Elephas maximus indicus: one gene and its partners. The protein of the gene in region 3 purifies or fractionates together with the protein of the main gene of each other region. This does not show direct contact. Links are inferred from orthologs where the notes say so. Each region holds a gene or a part of one and is shown on either strand. Other genes may lie near its edges.

Region 1 (7,965 bases), on a different chromosome or scaffold from region 3:
AAATAGGTAGGCAGACAGATGTTACTGTTGTTAGGTGCCGGCGTGGAGTTGGTTCTGACTCATAGTAACCCTGCGCACAACAGAGCGAAACACTGCCCAGTCCTGCCCCATCCTCACAATTGTTGCTATGGTTGAGCCCACTGTTGTAGCCACTGTATCAGTCCATCTCATCAAGGGTCTTCTCCTTTTTCGCTGACCCTCTGCTTCACCAAGCATGATGTCCTTCTCTAGGGACTTATCCCTCCTGGTAACATTTCTGAAGTATATGAGACGAAGTCTCATCATCCTCGCTTCTAAGGAGCATGCTGGCTGTACTTCTTCCAAGACAGATTTGGTCATTCTTTTGGCAGTTCACGGTATATTCAATTCAGTATTCTTCGCCAACACCACAATTCAAAGGCATCAGTTCTTCTCTGGTCTTCCTTATTCACTGTCCAGCTTTCGCGTGCATCTGAGGCAATTGAAAACACCATGGCTTGGGTCAGACGCACCTTAGTCCTCAAGGTGACAGCTTTGCTTTTCATCACTTTAAAGAGGTCTTTTGCAGCTGGTTTGCCCAATGCAATGTGTCTTTTGATTTCTCGGCTGCTGCTTCCACGGGTACTGATTGTGAATCCAAGTAAAATAAAACCCTGACAACCTCAATCTTTTCTCCGTTTATCATGATGTTGCTTATTGGTCCAGTTGTGAGGATTTCTGTTTTCTTTATGTTGAGGTGTAATCCATACTGAAGGCTGTGGTCTTTGATCTTCATTAGTAAGGGCTTCAAGTCCTCTTCACTTTCAGCAAGCAAGGTTGTGTCATCTGCGTAACGCAGGTTGTTAATGAGTCTTCCTCCAATCCTGATGCCACGTTCTTCTTTATGTAGTCCAGCTTCTCAGATTATTTGTTCAGCATACAGATTGAATAGGTATGGTGAAAGGATATGACCCTGACACACAGCTCTCCTGGCTTTAAACCATGCAGTATCCCCTTGTTCTGTTTGAATGGCTGCCTCTTATCCATGTACAGATTTCTCATAAGCACAATTAAGTGTTCCAAAATTCCCATTCTCCACAATGTTAGCTATAATTTGTTATACGTTATATGTGTGTGTTTTTTTTTTTTTTTTAGGCAGATAAATAAGAGCAATTAAAAAGAAAAAATTACCCTGATGATGTCTTCCTCTGTCCTCTCCCATGGCCACATCTGACAGTCTCAGCATCTTTCAAAGCACCATCCCAGGGGAGAACTGGGTTTGCCCAGCAACCCAGATGCCAACCACAGTTGAGCGGGCAGAATGCAGGTTGGAGGGACAGAAATACAAGAGTTGAAAGCCCAAACTGGAGACGGAAGGGCTGCCGATGAAACAGCCTGCTGTGTGGCCAAGAGAGTTTAGTCTCTCTGCATGTCAGTTTCCTTCAGTTATAAAAGTTGAGGTTGGGATGGCCAATACACATCAGAGCCGCTACGAGGAACAGCTTATAAAATCATTCCCTTAACAAGTGAGGCTTTTAACAGCCAAATAAATGGGTCCGATCAGCCTTCTGCATGTAAGTGCTAAGGGCAATTTCTCAGCCCTCTTGGTTCACTCGTAAAACAGGGGCAAGACCTGGAAAAGGTGGCACTCACTGTTCCCTGACTTCAAATGTGTTAAATGAAGCAAGAAATCATCATTCAAAACTCCTGGTGCCCAATATGAGCATTTTAACGACTCCGAGCCGGAGTTTCCAGCAAAGTAGAACTAATAAAGTTCATAGGGCAGTAACAATTAAACAAGAAATGACAAAGCAGATGCCTGCTACACAGTAGGTGCCTAATAAATGCTAGTTCTCTCTCTCCCCCGTTTAGGAGGCTGGCTACACACCCCCCAACTAGGCCAGGCCAAGCCTTTCGCTTGCAGCAAACTCCCAGCAGCTCCCCCACACGCACACCCTCCCTCACGGATGCCGGGCACACTCTCCAAACGGTCACCCCTAAGACCAAGGACACAGGGGGCCCTGAAGACACCAGCAAGGGAACCGGCCCACCAGCCTTTCCTGCTCAGGCAACTCAGTCCCGTCAGGGAGAGAGCTGAGCCGCAGCAGCCACTACCAGGATTTTCCCATGGTGCAGTGCAACTTCCCCAACTTTTCCCGGCCCACAGAAACCTAGCCGGCATTGTGCACAATCAGCCACAGCTCTGGGGGAGGAAGGGAGCTGAGACAGCCGGAGAGTGAAAAGGCACAAGTGATCCTGCGACGGGGTGGAAGGGCTCAAAATCCAGGAGCGCCAGTCCTAGCCCGGCCTCCCCAGCCTTCCAGACTTGATCAAAGGCTCGCACAGGCTCCCCAGGGACTAGCGGATGGTGAAGAGATTAGGAAAGAGGCTGACAGACAGACAGACATCCGTCTGAGGTCCCCCGATGGCTGGATCTGGCGGCCTCCGACGGACCCGCTTCTGTAGCACCTAGGAGGTTCAAGACCTTCCGTGCGGGGCACTGATCACAGCGAGCGGTGGCACTGGGGGACCAGGTGTGCATCGGGGATCCACCTATCGCCCCCTCCCGCAGGTGGGATAAGGCGGGAAGGTTCTACCCGAGGCCAGCGCCAGGTAGATCGGTGGCCCTCCACCTGGGAAGCTGGGGAGACAAGGCGTGGAAGGCAAGTGCAAGAGGCCGGGAGCGGGGGTCCGACACTCACCCGCGCCCTCGGCGGGCTGCGGCGGCCCGACCACGCCGTTCAGGTAGAGGATGGGCAGCAGGTGAGGCTGCGTCTTCTCCAGCGCCGCCCGCAGGTCCTGGAAGTGGTCCCGCTCCTTGGCCAGGAGCAGCTTGAGCAGCAGCTCCGCCTTGGCGCCTCCCGCCTCCTCGTCCAGCTGCCGCCGCTCGCCGGGGCTCAGCGCGCCCGCGGCCTCCAGCAGCCCGAGCACGGCTTCCACCTCCGTCATGGCCTGGGCCAGGCTCTGCTGACACTGAGCGAGCAGCTCCCGGCGCTGGGGCTCCATGGTGGCCGGCGGGCGCGCAGGGGGCGGCGGGGGGCGCGCAGGGGGCGGCGGGGGGCGGCGGGCGGCGGGCGCGCAGAGGGCGGCGGGGGGCGCGCAGGGGGCGCGCAGGGGGCCCGCGGCGCCTCCGGCCGGGCGGGCGAGCGCCGGCTGCAGCCCTAGCGCGCCGGGAGCCGCGAGGCCGCGGGGGCCATGGGCCGGGGCCTGGGCGGCTGCGGCCCGGGGAGCCGAGCGGCGCTCAGCAGCGGCCGCCTCCCGGGCTCAGGAGCGCAGCCATGTTGGCTGCGGCGGCGGCGGGACTGGGAGAGGAGGAGGAGGAGACGGAGGAGGAGAAGGAGGCGGAGGAGGTGGGGACGGCGGCCGGGGCGCGCCCCGAGGCCGGGCTGCGGCCGGGCATGCTCCCCTCCCCCTCCGCGCGCGCTCCCTCCCCGGCTCCGCGCGAAAACGCGCCCCGAAACCCCGGGCCCCGAAACAGACTCCAACTCCCAGGGAAAAGTGGCCAGGGAGGCGTTTGCAGGGCCCCCGACGGCCCCGGCCCGGGCTCGGCGGCCGCCTCGGCCCTGCCCGGCCCCTGCGTCCCGGTCCGGCTCCCCGGGGCCCCCCGGCCGCCGCCGCCGCCAGCCGGTGCCTCCGCGCCCTCCCCTCCCCCGGCCGTCCCTCCGAGCGCCCGTGAGGTCTGCCCCCAGAGGAGGCGGTGACCGAGGGGACGGGCGAAGGAAAGGGGTCCCCGCCTCCCCGCTCCCGGCCCTTGGAGGAGGCGGGCCGCCGCGCGCGCTCGGCGGGGTCTCCTAACATGACAACTCCAGAGTAAAGCCAGGAGACAACTGGGGGGAGTCCCCTAAACTGGGACATCTCCAGTTAGGACCTCCCTCCTATCTCTGAGGTCTCCACTCCAAGAAGCTCTTTAGAGAATTTCCCAGTGAAGTCCCCTAAACTGAGACTCGGTTAATCAGGATTTTTCCCGGTCTCTTCCCTTACCCTTCACCCCTATTTAGGATGGGCTGGTCTCGGAGTCTAAAGGGGTTCGGATGCGGGGGTGGGGGTGGGGAGAGTAATGTTGCTGGGCGAGGAAGAAGGTGGATTTCTAGTGGAATGGTTCGTCTTTTCCGCGAGAGAGGTGCACTCCCCCTTAGATGTCACCCCAGAGTCTAGCTGGCCTCGGGAGGGGCCAAATCAATGGGCTGTGGAAACCTGCGTTCCCGAAGATCTCACTGAGAATCTCCTCTGCGATTTCCAAGCCCCAGAAGATTTTCTGCCTTCCATTACCGCAGCAATGCCCTGCCTGGAGGACAAGCTCCTTAAAAGGTAGAATCCCAAATGATTGCTGTCTGTAACCTCCACCACACTGCTCTAGACTGGGATTCCAGGTCCCCTTCTACTTGTCTGTATTAGAGTGAGTCTCACTTTTTTTTTTTTTTTTCTCACTTACAAACGCTGGGGACACACGTGATTTTTTTACTAACACCATCACTCCCACCATCACCATTTGCCAAGTCCAGCAAAAAAGTTTTCTTAAGCATACTGCTTCATTGACAGGGAGTGGTCTTTCATTTAATGGATGCAAACTCTTTATATAGTGCTTAGAGCAAGAGTGTCAGAATTTACACTTAGGTTTTGACTTTCCCTCTAAATAGCTGCATATCCCAAAAAAAAAAAAAAAAGAAAGAAAGAAAACACCAAAAGTCTAGCAGTGGGATAGATTCCAACTCTAGCGACCTTTTAGGACAGAATAGAACTGCCCGATAGGGTTTCCATGGAGCGGCTGCAGACTTTTTGGTTAGCAGCCGAGCTCTTAGCCACTACGTCACCAGGGCTTCAGCTGTTGTTGTTGTTGTTAGGTGCTTTCCAGTCAGTTCCGACTCATAGCGACCCTATGCACAACAGAATGAAACACTGCCTGGTCCTGCACCATCCTTACAGTCGTTGTTATGCTTGAGCTCATTGTTGGAGCTGCTGTGTCAATCCATCTCGTTCAGGGTCTTCCTCTTTTCCGCTGACCCCGTACTCTGCCAAGCATGATGTCCTTCTCCAGGGACTGATCCCTCCTGATGACATGTCCAAAGTATGTAAGATGCAGTCTCGCCATCCTTGCCTTTAAGGAGCATTCTGGTTGTACTTCTTCTAGGACAGATTTGTTCATTCTTTTGGCAGTCCATGGTATATTAAATATTCTTCGCCAACACCACAATTCAAAGGCATCAGTTCTTCTTCAGTCTTCCTTATTCATTGCCCAGCTTTCACATGCATATGATGCGACTGAAAATACCATGGCTTGGGTCAGGCACACCTTAGTCTGCAGGGTGACATCTTTGCCCTTTGACCTTTGGGCTTCAGTGCTGTGGGGCAAATCAGTTATCCTTGCTGATCTTGTTTTTCTCATCAGGAAAATGGGGCAGAGAGAGTTTATTAGATCAGGTGTTCTTAACCTTGGGTCCGTGGATAAGCCTGAAGGTGTCCATGAAGCTTTTGATTTTATCTGAAACTTTTTTTGTGGACATTTATGTATTTTTCTGGGATGAAGCTTCCATTAAAAAAATATTAACAGTTGCCATGGAGTGGACGCCAACTCATGGCAACCCCACGTCTGCCAGAGTAGAACTGTGCTCCACGTGGTTTTCGGTGACTGATTTTTCAGAATAGATTGTCAGGCCTTTCTCCCAAGGCGCCTCTGGGTGGACTCAAGCCTCCAGCCTTCCAGCCAACCATATTGACTTTCATCAAGTTCTTTAAGGCCTCCATAACCCAAGATGGACTCCTAAATGGACTCCAAAATGAAACTAAGTTATGTTTATATACCTTTCTACTCAGTCTCAGTTTCTATGCCTGAGCAAGTTTTCAGGGGAAGGAAAATCGCCTGTTGCACATTGCCAGGGCTCTAGACAAGCTCCCTCTCTTCTCCTCCCCCTCCTGCCCCACCTGAGAGATGGTTCCCCTGACTTCCCTTACAGCAAGTGCACAGCCTAAACCATCCTCAAAGGCATCCACCTTTCAGAACACACCTGGAGCCTCTGTTCTCAGCTGGATTAGCTACAAGTGTAGGGAGTGGGAGGAAAGTGGAAATAGGGAGAAAGAAGTCAGACACGAATTTGGTTTATGGTTAGAACTGACTGTGAATAAGTCTCAGATATCCAAAGGGTGCCCGAGACAGGAAGGGGCAGGAGGGAGGCACAGTCTCCCAGGACCCCTGAAAGGATGGTGGGGAGCATGTATGTTTTTTTTTCCCCTGTGAGTCTTAGTGGGAGCAGTGAACAGGCCCATTTGCTAAGAGTACTTTCTCAGTAGGCTGGAAACTACTTTCAGTAAACCCTTCTTTATAGAAACTCTAGGATTTTATGCAAATTATACAGTTTAGAGAAGACAATTTACTTTATAAAAACATTTACTTTAGGATTCCTTTCATCAGTGACCTTGGTATGATCTTGTATTTCTGTAGCACTTGACACCCTTTGGGGCACTGTTACAGATTGAATTGTGTCCCCCAGAAATACATGTTGTAAGTCCTAAATTCTATGCCTTCAGTTACAATCCCATTTGGAATTGGGCTGTCTTTGTTATGTTAATGGAAGGATTAGTGTAGGGTGTATCTGAGTCAATCTCTTTAGAGATATAAAAGAGATTAAACAAGCAAGTAGAGAGAGGTGGGAAAAGAGATACACTACACCACAGGAAGATCATCAAGGAACCAAGGAATAAGACCTTCTCCCAGAGCCACAAAAAAAAAAAAAAAAAAAAGCCCTTTCCCTAGAGCCAGTGCCCTGAATTCAGACTTCCAGCCTCCTGACCTGGGAGAGAATCAACTTCTGTGTGTTAAAGCCGTCCACTTGTGGCATTTCTGTTACAGCAGCACTAGATCACTAAGACAGGCACCTTCCCCCACACTATCTACTTTGGGCCCCATCACAATTGGGGAGGTATGAAGGACAAAGATGGGTGTCCCCATTGGACAAATCAAACTATCGTCGCACTCTTCAACTGCCTAAGTATTTTTCTGGAGATTTACTCACCTTTCCACCTTTCTCTGGTCTTAGAAAAAGAGGGTGTCTCCTCCTTGAGAACAGCCTCTTCCATGTTGTTGTTAGGTACCACTGGGTCAATTCCAACTCACAGCAACCCTACGTACAGCAGAACGAAACACTGCCCAGGCCTGCACCATACTCACAGTTGTTGCTCTGTTTGAGCCCATGTTGCAGCCACAATGCCAACCCATCTCATCAAGGGTCTTCCTCTTTTTCACTGACCCTCTACCCTACCAAGCATGATGTGCTTCTCCAGGGACTGGTCCCTCCTGATAACATGTCCAAAATACATGAGACAGAGTCCCACCAACTTCACTTCTAAGGAGCACTCTGGCTGTACTTCTTCCAAGACAGATCTGTTCATTCTTCTGGCAGCCCATGATATATTCAATATGCTTTGCCAACACCATAATTCAAAGACACCGATTCTTTGGTCTTCTTTATTCATTGTCCACCTTTCGCATACATATGAGGTGATTGAAAATACCATGGCTTGAGTCAGGTGCACCTTAGAGAACAGCCTCTTCCATGCTCTGGATGCAATCCCTGCACGCTACACACATGCAAAGACACACACGTACCCCTTTTCCAGAACCCTCCACCGTCATATGCTATCCCACTTTCTCCCACTGTCCAAGTTTCCCTCTGCTCTGACTCATGTCAACCAGAAGGCTTGGGGCTTCCCCATTCTCAAAAGCCTTCCCTCTCGCATTTACTTAGGAGAGAAACATGGTGTGACGCTTAGGGGACCTCTAGAAGTTCACAGACTTCTCACTCCTTGGTTGGTGCTTTGATATCTAGCTTCTCAACATAACTCCCCACAGAAAGCTGGTTCTCCACATTAGCCTCCTGAAGCCTTGCCTTCATACCTCCAGCATCACCTCTGGGCTGCTTCATCCCATCCTCAGAACATCCTCTTGTTCTCTCTCCCCCGTCTGCTCCACTGGCTCCTTTCTCCCCAAGGTTGACTCCTTCTCTCCTTCTCTCC
Region 2 (7,655 bases), on a different chromosome or scaffold from region 3:
CCCAAGGCGTTTTCCATTTTGACAGTATGCCTCTTACGCATCACTCTTGAAGTATTGCCTTACTCATCAGTTTATATATTTGTTTCCCTTTTTAGACACAGTAAGCTCCTCAGCCCTGATTTTGACCTCGACGCTGGTTACTCAATACATGTTTGTTGAATGAATGAAAGATGGAATGAAACTCCTTGAGAGTTCGAACTATAACTGCTTGTCTCATTTCTTAAATCCTTAGATAGGCTCTAAATACACTTGCCTAAGAAATCTGACCTATAAATCAGATCAAATTTACTGCCAATTTATTATAGGACAATGTATTTCAGTATTTTTAAACTAACAAAAATGGTATAAATAGCAAAGAAAAATAAATGTTTGAAAAAAATTATAATATCATTCTTACTTTACTATTAACTGGGGACTTCAAGCATTAAAGCTAATCTTTACAACAATTTCCTCCCACAAGAGGAGGCAACTATAACAATGCAGTTTTAAACGAAAGAAATTCAAAACGTAAAGTCCTTGGTTAGTAACCGATGACATAAGAAGTTAAGCACTGAATATTGACAATTTATTCTACAATCTTCATATGCTAATCAGTAAACAAGGCTATCATTCTCTATCACAGCATTCTTGCACGTTATTTTTTCAAATCAGTTAGATGCTAATGGTAAGCACAAAGCAATTAGTCACTATATTTGTGTATAAATGTAACATGCTGCCTAATGTTTCTGGTATGTGCTTTTTGATACAGATTACATAGTAAATGTAATAAACGAGCAAAACTGGATTCTTTTTTTTTTAAAATCATTTGCAGGTAACAGAATTTAAAGTGCTGAAGATTTTCCTAGATAAATTAGTTCTGCTTTAAGAGTCTTACATTTTAATTATATTGGTTTTTGATGAAAAGAAAAAAGAAGGGATTACTTTTTTAATAGTACTCTTAAGAAATAAATCAATAACAGCTAAGGAAAAAATCTTCTAAAGCAATATGATGTAGTGGAAAATAAAATGGCCTAGGCTTTGAAGTTCTTGTTTTCTAATTCTAGTTACATTACTAAATTGTTATGTGACTTAGGGCTCACTGGCTCAGTGTTCTCATTTCTTAAAAAAAAAAAAAAAAAAAGTGTATGTATTTGTGGAAGAGATTTGATTATTTTAAAGATGTTTCCCAAAGTTCTGGTTTTAAGCCACCCTCTTGTTTCATTCCTCTAATTGGTAAACTCAAATTCCGCTCTCTAAAATCTAACTTCAATATGAAAACACATCTGAAATTGGATGCGATTCAATCTCCAAGTGGATGGCACAGATTACAAAGTGTAGAATCTCATAAAGTTAAGAATTAATTCGCTAACTTTCCAGAAATTGTCTAACGTCTTAAACAACCAGGTGTAGTCTGGTTGGGCATATTTAATGTTACTAAGGTTTTTTAAGGAAGGTTATCAGATGATAAAGCTCTGTTGAAATTCCCCTAGGTGTTTCCTGGGCCCCAGTGGCATACTCTGCAGGTGCTAACCAGCAAAGGAGGAGAAAAGGACCTAGGCAGCGTTTCAACAAACTCAACCACCGCAGTAAGATGCAGCCTGACAAGGCCTACACCAGGGAGCAGAACCTCCCCACCCCCAGAAGTGTCAGCAGCCAATGTAATGAACGCTTCCGTCAACAACACACATACCCCTTCCCACCGGAGAACTGCTTGCTCCAACCCGGCCATCTGGGATTGGAATCGGCCGCAGAGCCCCAACCTAAAAATCATTCTCAAGCCCCAACCGCCAAAAACTACTCGAGACTGCGGTTTCCCCGCTCATGGCTGTGGGGTGAGAAGCACCCCCCCTTGCCGATGGGGGGGAAAATTCATCAGTGGGAAGGAGAGGAGAAGCCGGGCCTGGCTGAGACTGGTGGAGAAATAAACCCTGTTTTTCGGCAGTGGAAATCAGTAGCATTTCCTGCCCTTGTTCCGAAGCGAAGAGAGCTCAGGACCCCGCGCTCGACTTCATTCCCTCCCGAGATCCTAAAAGAGAACTGCTTCATTCCCATTTAGGCTCCATTCCCTGACCTATCCTCTCCTGGAACCTTTGGCATTGTGAAGAAAGGCACGCCCTGATCAAGGAGTAGGACGTGAAGCGAGGGCCAGACAGGGGCCCGGGTTCTGAGATCAAGCGCCTCCTGCAAGAAAATCCCCTTGTGGCCGGCGAGTAAAGTTTGCACCAGCAGCAAGGGCGCGGGCAGGGTCCCCGCCCGGCGGGCTCCAGGACAGGCCTGCGGAGGTGACACTCCTCCGCGTCCCGGCAGCACCGAGGGCAGGGGACAGGGCGCGGCGCTGGGCCGGCCGGCAGAGGCCTGGCGGGCAGCGGGACCCTCCCGGCGCCGCTCCCGCCTCTTCCCCGCTCCCCCTTTCCCCTTCTCGACCCTCAACCCGGGCGATAACGTCGAGGTGGCGGCGCGGATCTCGGCCACTGACCACACATTTCTTGCCGAGGAAGGTGAAGAGGGACTCATTCTCCTGAGGGGTGAGCAGCAGGGACCCCACGTTGGTGACCCTCCGCGGCGGCGGCGGCTGCTGCTGGCCGGAGCTCATGGTTTGGCCGGCAGGGCTGGGAGTCCAGGGCCGTCTCCTCTGGCGAGTGGGAGAGCGCTCGTCCCCCTCTCGGTGACAGGGGTGGGGAGGAGGGGAGTCAGAGGTGCAGCATCTCGCAGCTCCTCAGCGCGGGGCGGAGGAGGAGGAGAAGGAAAGGAGGCGCTGACGGCGGGCCGTCCTCGGGCCGCGCTGAAAAAGGAAAGCTCCGGGCTCCCGCCCGGCTAGACCCGGGCCGGATGGTCGTTGTCCTCACAGTCCGGCGACTGCGCTAAACTCCCAACTCCTCCTCCAATCGTCGTCCCTGGCCTTCAGCGGCGGCGGCGGCCGCACAATCCAACATGGCAGCGAGGGCGGGCGAGACCACAGGGCGCAGTAGGCGGGGGAGCGCGCCGGAAACGCGCGTGCGGCCTGGCGGGGGGACTCCCCCAACCGCGGCCGCGCCGCCCGAGGCCACGCCTCCTTCCGGTCGCGGCGCGGGCCGTACGGCTGACTCGGGGTTGCGCTCCCGGACGCGGGCTCGGGCCTCCCCGGTCCTGCTGCAGGGGCCGGGGCTGAGGAGAGCGTGAGGGCTGTTCGCTGCGGCTGTCTGCGGACGCGCACCTTGGCGTTATGTCGGTGAGGACCCAGGCCCGGTTCCCCGGAACGGCTCTTATTTCCGAGGCGCGGAAACAGAAGGCGCACACCGCTGGTCGGAAAGGCCTGGAATGTGGAGACAGAACATCGGGGAGAAGACCTGCGCTCCCCGCCGTGTCCTGCTCGCCTGTTGTGGTCAGAGCCGCAGGTGCTCGGGGTTTCTCGAACTTTGTCCAGACTTCAGCAGTGGGAGTGGAGGCTCCAACAGGCCTCTCCCGGGATTGCGAAGGCGAGATCTGTCCCTGGTGACGGCTGTGAGATAGAACAAACGCACTTAGGAAAGTCGGCCGCGCCTCCGGTCACCTGGGATAAACGTGTATGTCAGTTCAAGTTCTGTTTCTAAGAGACCTGAACACGTTTTTTTACTCTGTCGTGTGAATTAAGACAACGTCCCCCCACCCCAGTATTTTTTCTATTTCTCAAATCTCAAAGACCTTGTTAACTTTTGCTCCACATAATGTGTCCATTTTGGGATGTCACACAGGAAGATACCTTATCTGGTTTAATCCTTAGACGTAAACTCAAGGTTTCTTTTGTTTTTTGTTTTTTTTTTGGTATGCCTCAGGATGTTGAAAGTTACCAGAGATAGCCCCGTTTGCTAATATATTGAATACTAAATATCGTAAAACGAAATTTTGGAATATGGAAGTAATACCGACTACAGTGAATTATGCATCTGCCTGTTCTCCACATTAAACAAATTAGTTTTATTGCATAAAGTTTATCATCATACTTGCAAATTAATTTAATTAAACAAAAAAATCTGATAGCAAAAGTTTGTAAAACGATTTGATTCTAACACCTCTAGTAGCTCCCAATACAAACCTGATGTATTAAGTAAATTGATAAACCACTGTAAATACACTCAGAATATTGTGCATATTTAAAATTAAAGCTGTTCTTACTGAAATTGGCTTGTTGTTAGGTGCCCTTGAGTCGGTTCCGACTCATAGCGACCGTATGCCCAGTTAAACAAAACTCTGCCCGGTTCTGTGCCATCCTTACACCATCCTTGTTATGCTTGAGCTCATTGTGGCAGCCACTGTGTCAGTCCACCTCCTTGAGGGTCTTCCTCTTTTCCGCTGACCCTGTAGTTTGCCAAGCATGATGTCCTTCTCCAGGGACTGATCCCTCCTGATACCATGTCCAAAGTATGCAAGACTTAGCCTCGCTGTTCTTGCTTCTAAGGAGCATTCTGGTTGTACTTCTTCCAAGAGAGATTTGTTCATTCTTTTGGCAGTCCATGGTTTATTCAATATTCTTAGCCAACACCATAATTCAAAGGCGTTAGTTCTTTGGTCTTCCTTATTCATTGTCCAGCTTTCACATGCATATGATGCGATTGAAAATACCATGGCTTGGGGTCAGGCGCACCTTAGTCTTCAAGGTGACATCTTTGCTCTTCAACACTTTAAAGAGGTCCTTTGCAACAGATTTACCCAATGCAATGTGTCTTTTGATTTCTTGACTGCTGTTTCTGTGGCTGTTGATTATGGATCCAAGTAAAATGAAATTGGCTCAACAGGAATAAACCTGCAAGGGAAAATGAAAGTGTATAGCCTTGGGAGCGCTTATCTAAAATATGGATGTGTATTTTAAAACTAAACCTGTTTAACAATGTTAAGGAAAAGGTGATTTAAAAAAAAAAGAAAAAAGCAATAGGATTATTTATAAAATAATTCTTTTTAGAACCAAAACTCACTGCCATCCAGCCGATTCCAACTCATAGTGATCCTATAGGACAGAGTAGAACTGCCCCATGGAGTTTCTAAGAAGCACCTGGTAGATTCAAACTGCCAACCTTTTGGTTGGCAACCATAGCACTTAACCACTAGGCCACCAGGGTTTCCAGTTTTAGAAAGGCATAGTAAGAAGGTAAACTTGAGGTTGCCTCTGAATTAGAGTTAGCAAAATAACCATAGAAGCTAAATCAATTTGTCTCTTGTATCAAAAGTACAGTTCCTATAAGTTTAAAACAGTGACAGAAGAAAGCATTAGAAATTCCACCCCCAGTGGCTGTCAAGTCATTCCAACTCATAGCAACTCCACGTGTTATAGAGTAGAACCGCGCTCCACAGGGTTTTCATGGCTGTGACCTTTGGAAGCAGATTGCCAGGCTTCTCTCCTGAGACACCCCTGGGTGGGTTTGAACCTTCAACTTTTTGTTAGTAGTGGGAACTTAACCAGGTGCTTAACCATTTGCAGTTCCATGTGTTTCCAAGTGTTATCTGAAACGTGGGGTCAGTATGAGGCAGAATTGACTCAATGGGCAAAGGGTTTGGTTTATTAATAGTACTGTTTTAATTACTATTTTATCCTTTCAGGAAATTTTAAGTATCTGTTTCTAAATGCAGTTTTATGATTCTTTGCCCTTGTTCTGTCTTTGTTAGAAATGAAGATTGAAAATTATAACCGCCATAAATTTCTTAAACTCAAACCATTTTCTTAAATTTTTTATAAAAAATCTAAATACTCTGTAGTACTTTGTTCACAAAATCACAATTTAAGTTATTATTTTCTATCCTCTTTTTTGTTATTTTTGCTTACCTGTGGACTTTTTTCAATTCCTTGATACTGTTCTTAAAATGAGGAAAATGTAGCATGAACATAACATTGGAAATATGACTTCCTTACCCTTTTGAACACGTGAACAAGCAATATTTATTTTTCCTCCTTCCCATTTATAAAACGTTCTATTTTTCCATGTTCACACTGAGACCAAGAAGTACTGACTGCATTTCTTTTAGCAGTTTTAACAAGTCCTTTCTTCCTTTTATTCTTGATAGTGTGTCCTCTGTTTGGCAGAAGACATCTCTCTCTCTTTTTTCTTTGCCAAGTTATTTTCTTATCTCAAATTCTTTTTACTTAGTTTGAGAGATTGGATTTGATCCAGGAAATAAGAAAGGTTCTATTTCCCTTCAAGTGGATAGCCTAAAGTTTGCAAGCGAGGAATTTTATTCTGTCCCTGGAGCTTTCACTTCCCTCCCAAACGGCTTTCATTCATTTCTTCGTTAACTCACCAATCCATCCTTCATATTCAGAAATGTACACAGACCGTTAGGCTGACATTACAACACACCCAGACACACTCAGGTGAGGTTCTTGTGTGTTGCCCATCTGAGGTTTGTGGCATCAAAACTCTCAGAAATGGATATCTGTTTCTGCATCACCCTGAAGGAGTACTTCTCATAGCAACATGGTAAGGGCCTTCTGTTCAGAAAAAGGCAATTTTAACCTTCTACACTGGCTTGGTTAAGGATACAAGGAGAAGCTTTATATATATATATAAAATACAAATTATTCTCAGTATGCTTCCTCCTATAAAAACCCTTCCCTTAAAAGAAGGCTGAAAAGAGTTTAAAAAGTGATGACAATTTCTACTGTTTCACTGTTTACACTCTAAATCTATTATGAAAATCACTTTCATAGAAAATGTCTCTGAGAGAAGTCATGTGTGACTATGAAAGTTCAGGCATAGAGATTTTATATATAATATGTGCAATATTAAAATGTCTATGAATATAAATAAAAATAAGGAAATTCTTAAGTTTAATTTCTTCCATTTGAATTTTCCTTGATTTAACTGGAGTCTATTCTGGTACTTTTCTTTTTTCTTTCTTTACTATGATCCCTTAGAGTAAAACTCTCATTTTAGCAGAAAACATTAAGGTAGCTTATTTATGGAAATAAGGGCATATTTTCAGATGCATTCCCTGATGTCGTCATTACACTTTGCAAATTTCTCTTGTTCTGGTTCTTTATTATCCATTTTTTTCTTTAGAAATGTCATTGTGTATGTACTCTTACAAGTCCTCTGAAACAGCCCGTTCCCCTTGCTAATGTTAATAATCTAAAATGTAGTGACAGCCTTCATTGTGGGGCAATATAGAAGGAGGTGCACATGGGGATCTTTGGCATTCAGCAGCCATTGTAGCCGGAATTGCTGGTACTAATGTGCTACTTGGTTATGGCAGAACTGAATTACTTATAGAGACATAACAGCAGCAAACCTGGATACTGTAGGGGTGATGAGTGCTACTTCTCCCATCCAACCTCCAGGTGTCATGGGTTTAAAATGTTCACATTTTAAAATATTTCCGCATGTTTTTATGTAAATGTTGCAGATAGCAGTGCTTCAGAGATTTTGTTCTTCTACATGTACCACCAAGTCAGATGTTGAATATTTTTCAACAACTAAAATCTTAAAAAGTAAGCTATTTTTTCCCCCCTTCCTTTTAAATTCGTTTTGAGTACAAGCTCCTTTGGGGCGTACTGTTTAAAAGAATTGATAGCTTACTAACCATTTGTTCTGATTTTTTACATATGATAATGGAGACTTGAATTCTTATTCATAGTAGTGAATTACCAGTGCTGTTTACTACCACTATGTGGCTTAGTCTCCAGACACCTAATGCATACTTTTATTCAAGAAATAATTTGAAGAGCTAAG
Region 3 (7,853 bases):
CTCAAATGAAATTCTTATTTCTCTCTCACTATAAAACCCACAGCCGTTGAGTCGATTCCAACTCATAGCGACCCTATAGGACAGGGTAGAACTGCTCCATAGAGTTTCCAAGGAGCACCTGGTGGGATTTGAACTGCCGACCTCTTGGTAAGCAGCCATAGCACTTAACCGCTATGCCACCAGGGTTTCCTCTCTAACTATATCTAGATCTAATCCCCACTTTCTTGCCCAGTATGTGTAATTGCAGGGTCTCACTTTTTGCTTCTTACCACAACTTTGAGATTTTGGGGAAAAAGTATGTTTTGTTTTGATACAAGGGATTAAGAATTTAATGGCCAATTAGGTAGTCTTTTCTTTAATGTTGATGCAGTTAAGGAAAAGGTTCATCATAGAATTCAAGGAGGTGGGAAGACAAGGTTATTCTTTGTTTAGAGGCCAAAGCACTACCTCATGGTATCCACTAGTCAACACATTAGCCCTCTTGTCTTATTATCTCAGTATACCTGAGCTAGGAAAGAAGGATGATGCAGACCTAATTTTCCAACTCCTGGTTCTGTGCCCTTCTTTGTGGCTGAGTTGACTTGGCTGGGTTTTCCCTCTGAGGTCATCACTCATTTATCCTTCTCGTATAAAATCTATTGTCTAAAGAGCTGACAGCCACTTGCTGTTTCCATCTTGCCTGAGAACTAAAAGCGGTTCATACAGTTCAGTTCTTCTCAAAGGCAACAACATTGTGCTTGTTTGCTCATCTATAAAAAGAGGAAGAGAGAGACCAATCGTTGATGTGATGTCAGTGTAAAGGCTTCCTTGGGGATAAGCTAGATACACTGGCCAACAGGCTGAACTCTCTCACAGCCTTCAGGGTTTGGATTTGATTGACTCTGAGAACCCTGAATAGATGCCTGTTACAGCATGCGAACGCTATGGAAAGATCTGTGCAAAGCAGGCCTGAAAGCCTCATAATGTTACTCCTATGGGTTTCCACGCACTCATCCTGGCTGGCCTAACACTGACATACTTGACCTGTATTGTGTAGCTTTTCACTCTCAGAGATCCCTCACTTCACAGTGACTACCCCCAAAACACTTGGATTCCAGATGGGCCAGGCTTGGAAATAGCCCTTTCCTCCTCTGCCGTCTCCTGTTCCCATGAGTGGCTGACACAGACAACGGGCATCAATAGAACTTGGCTGGCAACATAAGCAGGCGCTAGAATCAGAGGAGGACCAGGAGAGAGGAAAGGAGCCCAGGGGGTGAAACAGTCCAGATTTGTGCTCGTACATCTGGTATGACTTTATTTCAGTCCCTCACCTCCCCTCCAGAGAAGACCAAACTCCTCCAAAGGGACAGCACTTTCTTTCCTAACCCATTCTTGTCTACTTGCTGAGTTCCCCTGGCAGGAAGAAAACACTTTTCTGAGAGCACAATTGAGAAACCAGCTCAAAGCCTAACTGAAGAATATGCCAGGGCTCGTCTGCCCTTCCTTTATCTAATACGGGGGACTGAGGCACAGAGCTGGGGAGCCTCTTGGTTGAGCAGGGTGGAGCTCAGCAGTGTGACATGAATGCTAGACTTCAGCCCTGGATAAAGACACTCCCCAAGAAACGAGAGTCCAGGTTTACGTCTTCTGGGATCCCTTGCTTCCCTTTTCCCATTTGAGAAATGAAACTGAGTTCTCTGCTCTCTCCTACTCACCTGACCTTCCTTGTTACAAAAAAAGCTACTTAAGTGCTCTTTCCATTCATCCTTTCTCTGGCGACAGAGGTTGGTTTTCAGAGTGACCTTCATTTCTGTATGAACAGCCACCCTCTTCTCCCCCTCCGTGTGAAGAGCCACATCCTTTATTGGCAGTCTCTTGGCTAATGGTCCTTTAGAGTGGTGAGAATGGACAGACTTCTGTTGACATGGGCGCTACTGGGGGATAATCCACAGAACAAAAGGCGGCAGCCTAAGGGGTGGGGAGGTGGGGGACAGAATACTGGTGACTGGGATCAGATTGCTAGGGAAACAGAGCAGTTATGTAACTGTGTTTACTCTGGCTCAGGTGGCTCTGAGAAGGCAGAGGGAGCCTCCTGACAAAAGGCAGTGCCATAGGTGGAGAAGAGGCCGACTCACAGGGAGGGAGGTCCCTGTTGAAAGATATAAGGGAATCCTGCCCAGGAGATAGCACATTGGGATGAAAGGAATCTGCTCTGTTGTTGACAACAGCTAATGTTATCTAGGACGACCTTCCCTATCCTCAGTCTCTCCCTAGAAAGATGCCTGCTGTGGAGCTAGGCCAGCAGCAAGTAGAGCTGAAGCTAGAGGGAGAAGTTGAGAAATCAGACACCTGGTTCTTTTTTTTTTTTTTTTTTAATTGTGCTTATAAATGAAAGTTTACAAATCAAGTCAGTCTCTCATACAAAAACTTATACACACCTTGCTATGTACTCCTAGCTGCTCTCCCCTTAATGAGACAGCACATTCCTCCTCTCCACCCTGTATTCCCCGTGTCCATTCAACCAGCTCCTGCCCCCTCTGCCTTCTCATCTAACCTCCAGACAGGAGCTGCCCACCAGATACCTGGTTCTTGGCTGAATCCCTGGACCTTGCTACTTTTTTTCCCATCATTCACAGTTTTCCAAGGAGACGAATTTTTCTCCCTAAATATGGGCAGAAAAGGAGGAATTAGCCACACAGTTCCTTATGTCTTTCCTGCGCTATGCTCCCACCAATCTCTCATCCTCTCTTCTGTGAGGTCAGATGGGCACCATGGAACACAATGGGGGGATCTGGTCATAGACCCTCCTTTGTCTAACAGAGAGCCTAAGACTCTGGGAAGGAGAGTGTCCACTGGTGCCAGGGCAAAGCAGGTTCTGACCTGAGAGAGAAGGTGGTAAGCCCGGAACAGGGGCCTAGCGAGACAGGCAAAAGTCAAAGCAGCTTAGGAAAAAGGCTCAGGTCACCACCTGGGCCTGTCCCGCCTCCTCTTGCAAAGCTGTTTACTGGACTCCCTATTCCCATAGTGATGAAAGTGGTAGCCAGTCCCCAGCTCCTTACCGATGGCTGCCACCTCCCTTTATGACAAACAGGAAGTTGGGACCTTTGTCAGCTCAGCTGCAACCTCTGTTAAATATTTATCTTGGAGTCCTGGTCAGAGCCCTAGAAAGCAAAGGAAGCTTGCTCCTGGGGAGAGAGGGTATGGCCAGGATTCCCAAAGTTGGAAGATCTTCAGCGTCACCATCTTTGGAGAACAAGGAAAAAAATGAAAGTGATGTGGTCCTTTCTAGTCCCACGGACCCTGACAGGTAGGAAAAACTGGTGACTAGGGAACATTGATTCCAACTCGAATAGTCGACTCCAAGTCATAGCGACCCTATCTATAGGACAGAGTGGAATTGCCCCATAGGGTTTCCAAGGAGCGCCCGGTGGATTCGAACTGCTGACCTTTTTGGTTAGCAGCCATAGCTCTTAGCCACTATGCCACCACAGTTTCCAAGGGAAATGAGCACATAGTTTGTCCCTGAGGGAGGAAGCCCATAGTACCTAGGGGTGGTAAGTATCCAAGTTTTAGGGGAGGGAAAAGGCACGGCTGCCTCCCCTCAAACTCTTCCTTGGAAGCCTTGGATCTGCTTCCCTATCATTTACACCCAATGGTCCCACTTCTGCTCCTAGACCCACAGTGCAACCACTCTACTTCCACGTGGCAACCCTGCAGGTACTGGAAGATAGCCAGCATGCCCTGTCTCTCCTAAGTATCCCCTCAGCCTAAACATCTCTTTCAGCTGTTTTCTATGGGACATTGTTTCACGCTCATTCTGGGCATCCTGATTGAGCTCTTTCAACTGCATAGAAAAAATATAAAGCTAAAACGTTCAGGATGGTAAAGGTGGAAAGTTGTTCATCCCCTTCCCCACTCTCAACTTTTGAGTAAGTACTCCAAGGTGTATTGTGGCCTCAGAGTACAAACCTTACACCCAGTAGGTATGCGGTCCATGTTTACATGTTTTCAAAATCTGTCATTGTTCTGTCCCAAAAAGTATGTGGAGTTGCTCAGTTACTGTTGGATTGTTGGTTTGGGGCCTGGGGTCCCACAGCCAAGCCAAGAGCTAGAAGTACTCCAGCGTCTGTTTCCATTATCGATAAGCATTCATTAAGCATCCCCGCTTTCTACAACAGACCCTGTGCAAACAGGGCGGGCGGGGGAGGGGTGGCGTAGCCAGAAAGGTCAGGGAGCCCATGGGCGGGGCTCTTGGGGCTTGTGCCAGAGCAGCTGGAACAGCGGAAAAGCAACAAAATCAAAATAAATACGGCGTATGGGAACACCAAGACCCTCCTAACCCCATCCCGGCCAGAGGGGCCCCACCCTCATCCTATAGAGGCGTGGTGCGCCCAGTGGGCCGCTCCCTCAGGCTGACTTTCTCCCCGGGCAGTCCTCGGTGCTTGCACGTGTGTGAGCATCGGCATGTTTGCAGGCGAGTGTGTGTGTGTTTGCACACGTCCGGACGCGTGTCTACGCAAGCACAAAAATCTTTCTCCAAGGCCTTAACTCGTTCCGCTTTGCAGCTCTGTCTGGGAGGCCCTCGGCGTTCTCCGGCTTATCTTGGTCCCAGCCTGTCTTCATCTCTGGCCCGTCTCGGGCTTCTCTGAGGTTGCGGACTCCGTATCAGCTGCTGGCTCGACTCGGGCCCTGGGGCCCAGGGCTAGTTCTTGTTAATCATTCCTGCCCTGTCCTGGCTCGGCTGTGCAGCCGCTCCCTTCCCACAAGCTGGAAGTGTCGCTGGAAACTCTGAGTGGCCTTTGCTGGCTCCTCCGCCCCCTGTCCGACGCCAGCCCTGCGGTGGGGGCCGGGGAAAGGCAGCTGGGAAACCAGAGCAGGCTCCCCGGGGACCTTCGGGTGGCTCCTGCCGGCGCCGCCTCCCGGCCGGCCCGGCCTCCTGGGCCAGGAGCCACCAGCGTCCCCGCGGGGCGCCCGGCCAAAGCCCGGACGGAGGGCACTCGCACGCCCTTGGCGGGCTGTCCTCGAGCCCCCGCCCCGCGAGGCGGGAAAGGGAGTAGCCGGCCCCCCACCCCACCCCTCCGCAAACAGTCCAGATTGGAAACACAAACTCCGCCGGTCGCCCTCCCTCTGCCAAAGCTCACGTCCCCTGCCTCCCAGCGCGCTCGCGCTCGCTCACTGCCTCTGCCTCCTTCTTCCTCCTCGTGCGCCCAGCCTCTCGGAGCCCTGTCCTGACCCGGTCACGAGGGGAGAGAGCACATCTCGGACTTCTCCCGGGCCCCTCCCTAAGGGCCCGCAGCGGCCGCGCCAGGCGGGAGCCGAGCAGAGATGCTCCTGCCCTCCCAGGCGGTCTCAGTCCCCGCCACCTGCTCGCCGGGGAAGGTAGGTGCCGGCATGGAGAGGGGCGGGAGAGGAGGCGGAGGCCGCAGTCAGGGAGAGACCAGGGAGCCAACCCTGCCCCGCGCCAAGCCCAAAGGGAAGGCAGTAGAGCCCCTCCCCTTGGGGTCCTCAGAGGCTGGGCGTCCCAAACTCAGGGAAACTGAGGTGGAAAGAGCTTGGAAGTTCCTCCCTCCCGTCAATCCAGAAAAGGGGAAAGTTGAGAAGTCCACGTGGACTTGTAGCTGGACCTGGAAAAGTGCGTAGGGCCAAGACCCCAAGGTCAAAGCAGCACTTAGAGATGGGAAGGTGTTTGCCAGCCGAAGTAGAAGTACCGCATCTCTTCCAGCTCTTTGGAGCTGGCTGTTTGGAAGGAAAGGGGCTGGATGAATTCTGGAAGGACACCAGAAATGTCCAGGCACCCTCTGTCCTCTGCCAGATGCAGGTCCAATTCCCCTGGGTGCCTCATCGTCCCTATGAAAAGCCCTCCCCAATGTTTCCTGGCAGGGCTTCGAGGAGAAAAACTCAGACTACCCTTCCCATCCCCACCTCTGTCTATCCCTGAAGGTTGGGCCAGATGGGGGTGGGGTGGCAGGCAGGCTGAGGCATCAAGGGTCAACAACCCCTGAAAACTCAAGTGGTTGGGGGGCACCTCCTGCCCTCCATCCACCACTCTACAAGAGGGCAGTTGTCACTGAGTACAGAGTGGAATGGGGAGGCTGGGAAAGGAAGAGTCTGGTCAGCTGACGGGCAGAGACTGCAGATGCTGACCAGGCAACTTGGCCTCAAGCAGTCAGCTGGACAGGGAGGGGTCCCTGCTTGGACCTACCCTGTCCTGGGCCTCCTGACCTCCCACTCTCCTCTGCCTCAATTTCCCCACAAGGAAGAGAGCAGTGGGGGAACTAGGATGTGTCTGCATGTTTCGCATTTGATAGGAGTCTTAATGGGATCCAGCTGGTGAGCTGCCCCTCCTCCAGTCTCAGCCCTCCACTCCCCACAGCCACGGAAAAGCTAGATCCCCAACAGGCCACTGCTCGAATGTCAGAAGGAATCCCCCCAAACTCAGACCAGAGACAAGGAGCTGCCCCCAGCTTTGTCTGTACCCTTGCCAACCCCCCCCAAGGCCTGACAACCAGTCACAGCCCCTATGCACCCTCATCTCCTCTGGTCCCCGCAAGTCGTGTGCTGCTCATATGACCACCCACTGCATACACACACCCACATACAATTCAGCTGACTCCCTTCTGTACCCACAACCCATGCTGCTCACATGATCCCCACTGGTGGCACCCCCACAAGTCAGAGCCACATCACTCCACCTCCATTCCCATCCCACTGGCTGCCCTCCCCATGAACCCCCACCGACCCCACAGGCACACACAGTCACACTGAGCAAAAAGCCCAGAACTAGTCTGGCCCCAGAAGGTAGTGGCCCAGTCCAACAGCAAAGGTGAGGTGGGACAGCCTCCACACCAGTTTCTGGGTAGAAGAGCCTCATTAGACACCCTGACCTGAGAACCTCCTCCCTGTCCTCTTCCACCCACCCCTCTGAGTTCCCTTCCTCCATTTCCATCTCCTGAATGCCTGGAGCCCCTTACCCCTGACCTAACCTCAGTAGAACCTGGCTGGCCAGGGAAGATCCTCCATCCAACAATCAGTCTGAAGACATAGGAGGAAGTGTGTGTGTGTGTGTGTGTGTGTGTGTGTGTGTGTGTGTGTGTGTGTGTGTGTGTGTGACCATGTGCAAGAGAGCACCAGGGAATACCCTCCAGGTCCACCTTTCCTCTCACCGGCTACTTCTCTCCACCCCCTCCTCACTGCACGCTGAACCTCTGAGTCCTCAGTCTGAGGGAAGGGAGATAAAGGATGGAGCTGATACTCCCTTTGAGCTCAGAAGGAGTGGTTCCTGCTGCCTGGAAATGCCCCCCACTCTACCCCTCCCCGGAACCTTGGCCTTGTTCGGGTTTAGGGTGCCACCACTGCTTCCCAGCGGGCAGTGGGCGGTGCCCTTGCTGTTGGCCAGGGCCTCTCCCCTGGCCTGAGTTGCTCCTTGTGCCCGCTGGCAAGCAGATGCTCACTCAGGGACTGGGGGAGGCAGAGGGAACTGAAACAAAGTCTCATATCCCCCTACCCCTCTCTGCCAGTTGCCCCAGTTCCCCTCTGCCTTCCTCTGGGGGAGCAGGCTGTGCTATGCAGTGAGAGCCCCAGAGAGGCTGCCCAACAGGGCGAAGGCCGGAGCTTGGTCCTGCAGACCTGCATGCCCAAGGAGGCTTTGTCCAGCAAGCCTGCTCCTGGCCAGCCTTCCCTCCTCCTTGCCCAGGCCTCCCCCACCCCCACTCCCACCAGGAGCTCCTGCCCAGGGCCTAACAAGCAGTCCATTGTGCCTATGGGAGCTGGCACAGGCAGCCTGCAGGCGGGTGCCCACAGTGGCCTGTTTCCTGGGTCCTGTGGGCTCCCACCCAGCTGACCCCAACCCCCTCCCAAGGTTTTCCCCTCCTTCC

What was found. Proteins that work in one complex are often made in the same cells at the same time.
Region 1: the proteins of SORBS3 (region 3) and DLG5 purify together in Homo sapiens (co-immunoprecipitation; 3 studies listed by BioGRID and IntAct, with this or other methods). This does not show direct contact. The link is inferred for Elephas maximus indicus from reciprocal best matches to the Homo sapiens genes SORBS3 and DLG5.
Region 2: the proteins of SORBS3 (region 3) and WASL purify together in Homo sapiens (co-immunoprecipitation; 3 studies listed by BioGRID and IntAct, with this or other methods). This does not show direct contact. The link is inferred for Elephas maximus indicus from reciprocal best matches to the Homo sapiens genes SORBS3 and WASL.

Annotation. Positions count from the first base shown.
Region 1 is NC_064834.1:9,142,287-9,150,251, reverse strand, and holds the start of DLG5 (disks large homolog 5), read right to left. Parts: upstream 3,002-7,965; 5' UTR 2,965-3,001; coding exon 2,661-2,964; intron 1-2,660. UniProt on the Homo sapiens protein: Acts as a regulator of the Hippo signaling pathway.
Region 2 is NC_064826.1:25,970,957-25,978,611, reverse strand, and holds the start of WASL (actin nucleation-promoting factor WASL), read right to left. Parts: upstream 3,002-7,655; 5' UTR 2,573-3,001; coding exon 2,456-2,572; intron 1-2,455. UniProt on the Homo sapiens protein: Regulates actin polymerization by stimulating the actin-nucleating activity of the Arp2/3 complex. Involved in various processes, such as mitosis and cytokinesis, via its role in the regulation of actin polymerization.
Region 3 is NC_064840.1:52,127,563-52,135,415, reverse strand, and holds the start of SORBS3 (vinexin), read left to right. Parts: upstream 1-4,846; 5' UTR 4,847-5,358; intron 5,359-7,853. UniProt on the Homo sapiens protein: Vinexin alpha isoform promotes up-regulation of actin stress fiber formation. Vinexin beta isoform plays a role in cell spreading and enhances the activation of JNK/SAPK in response to EGF stimulation by using its third SH3 domain.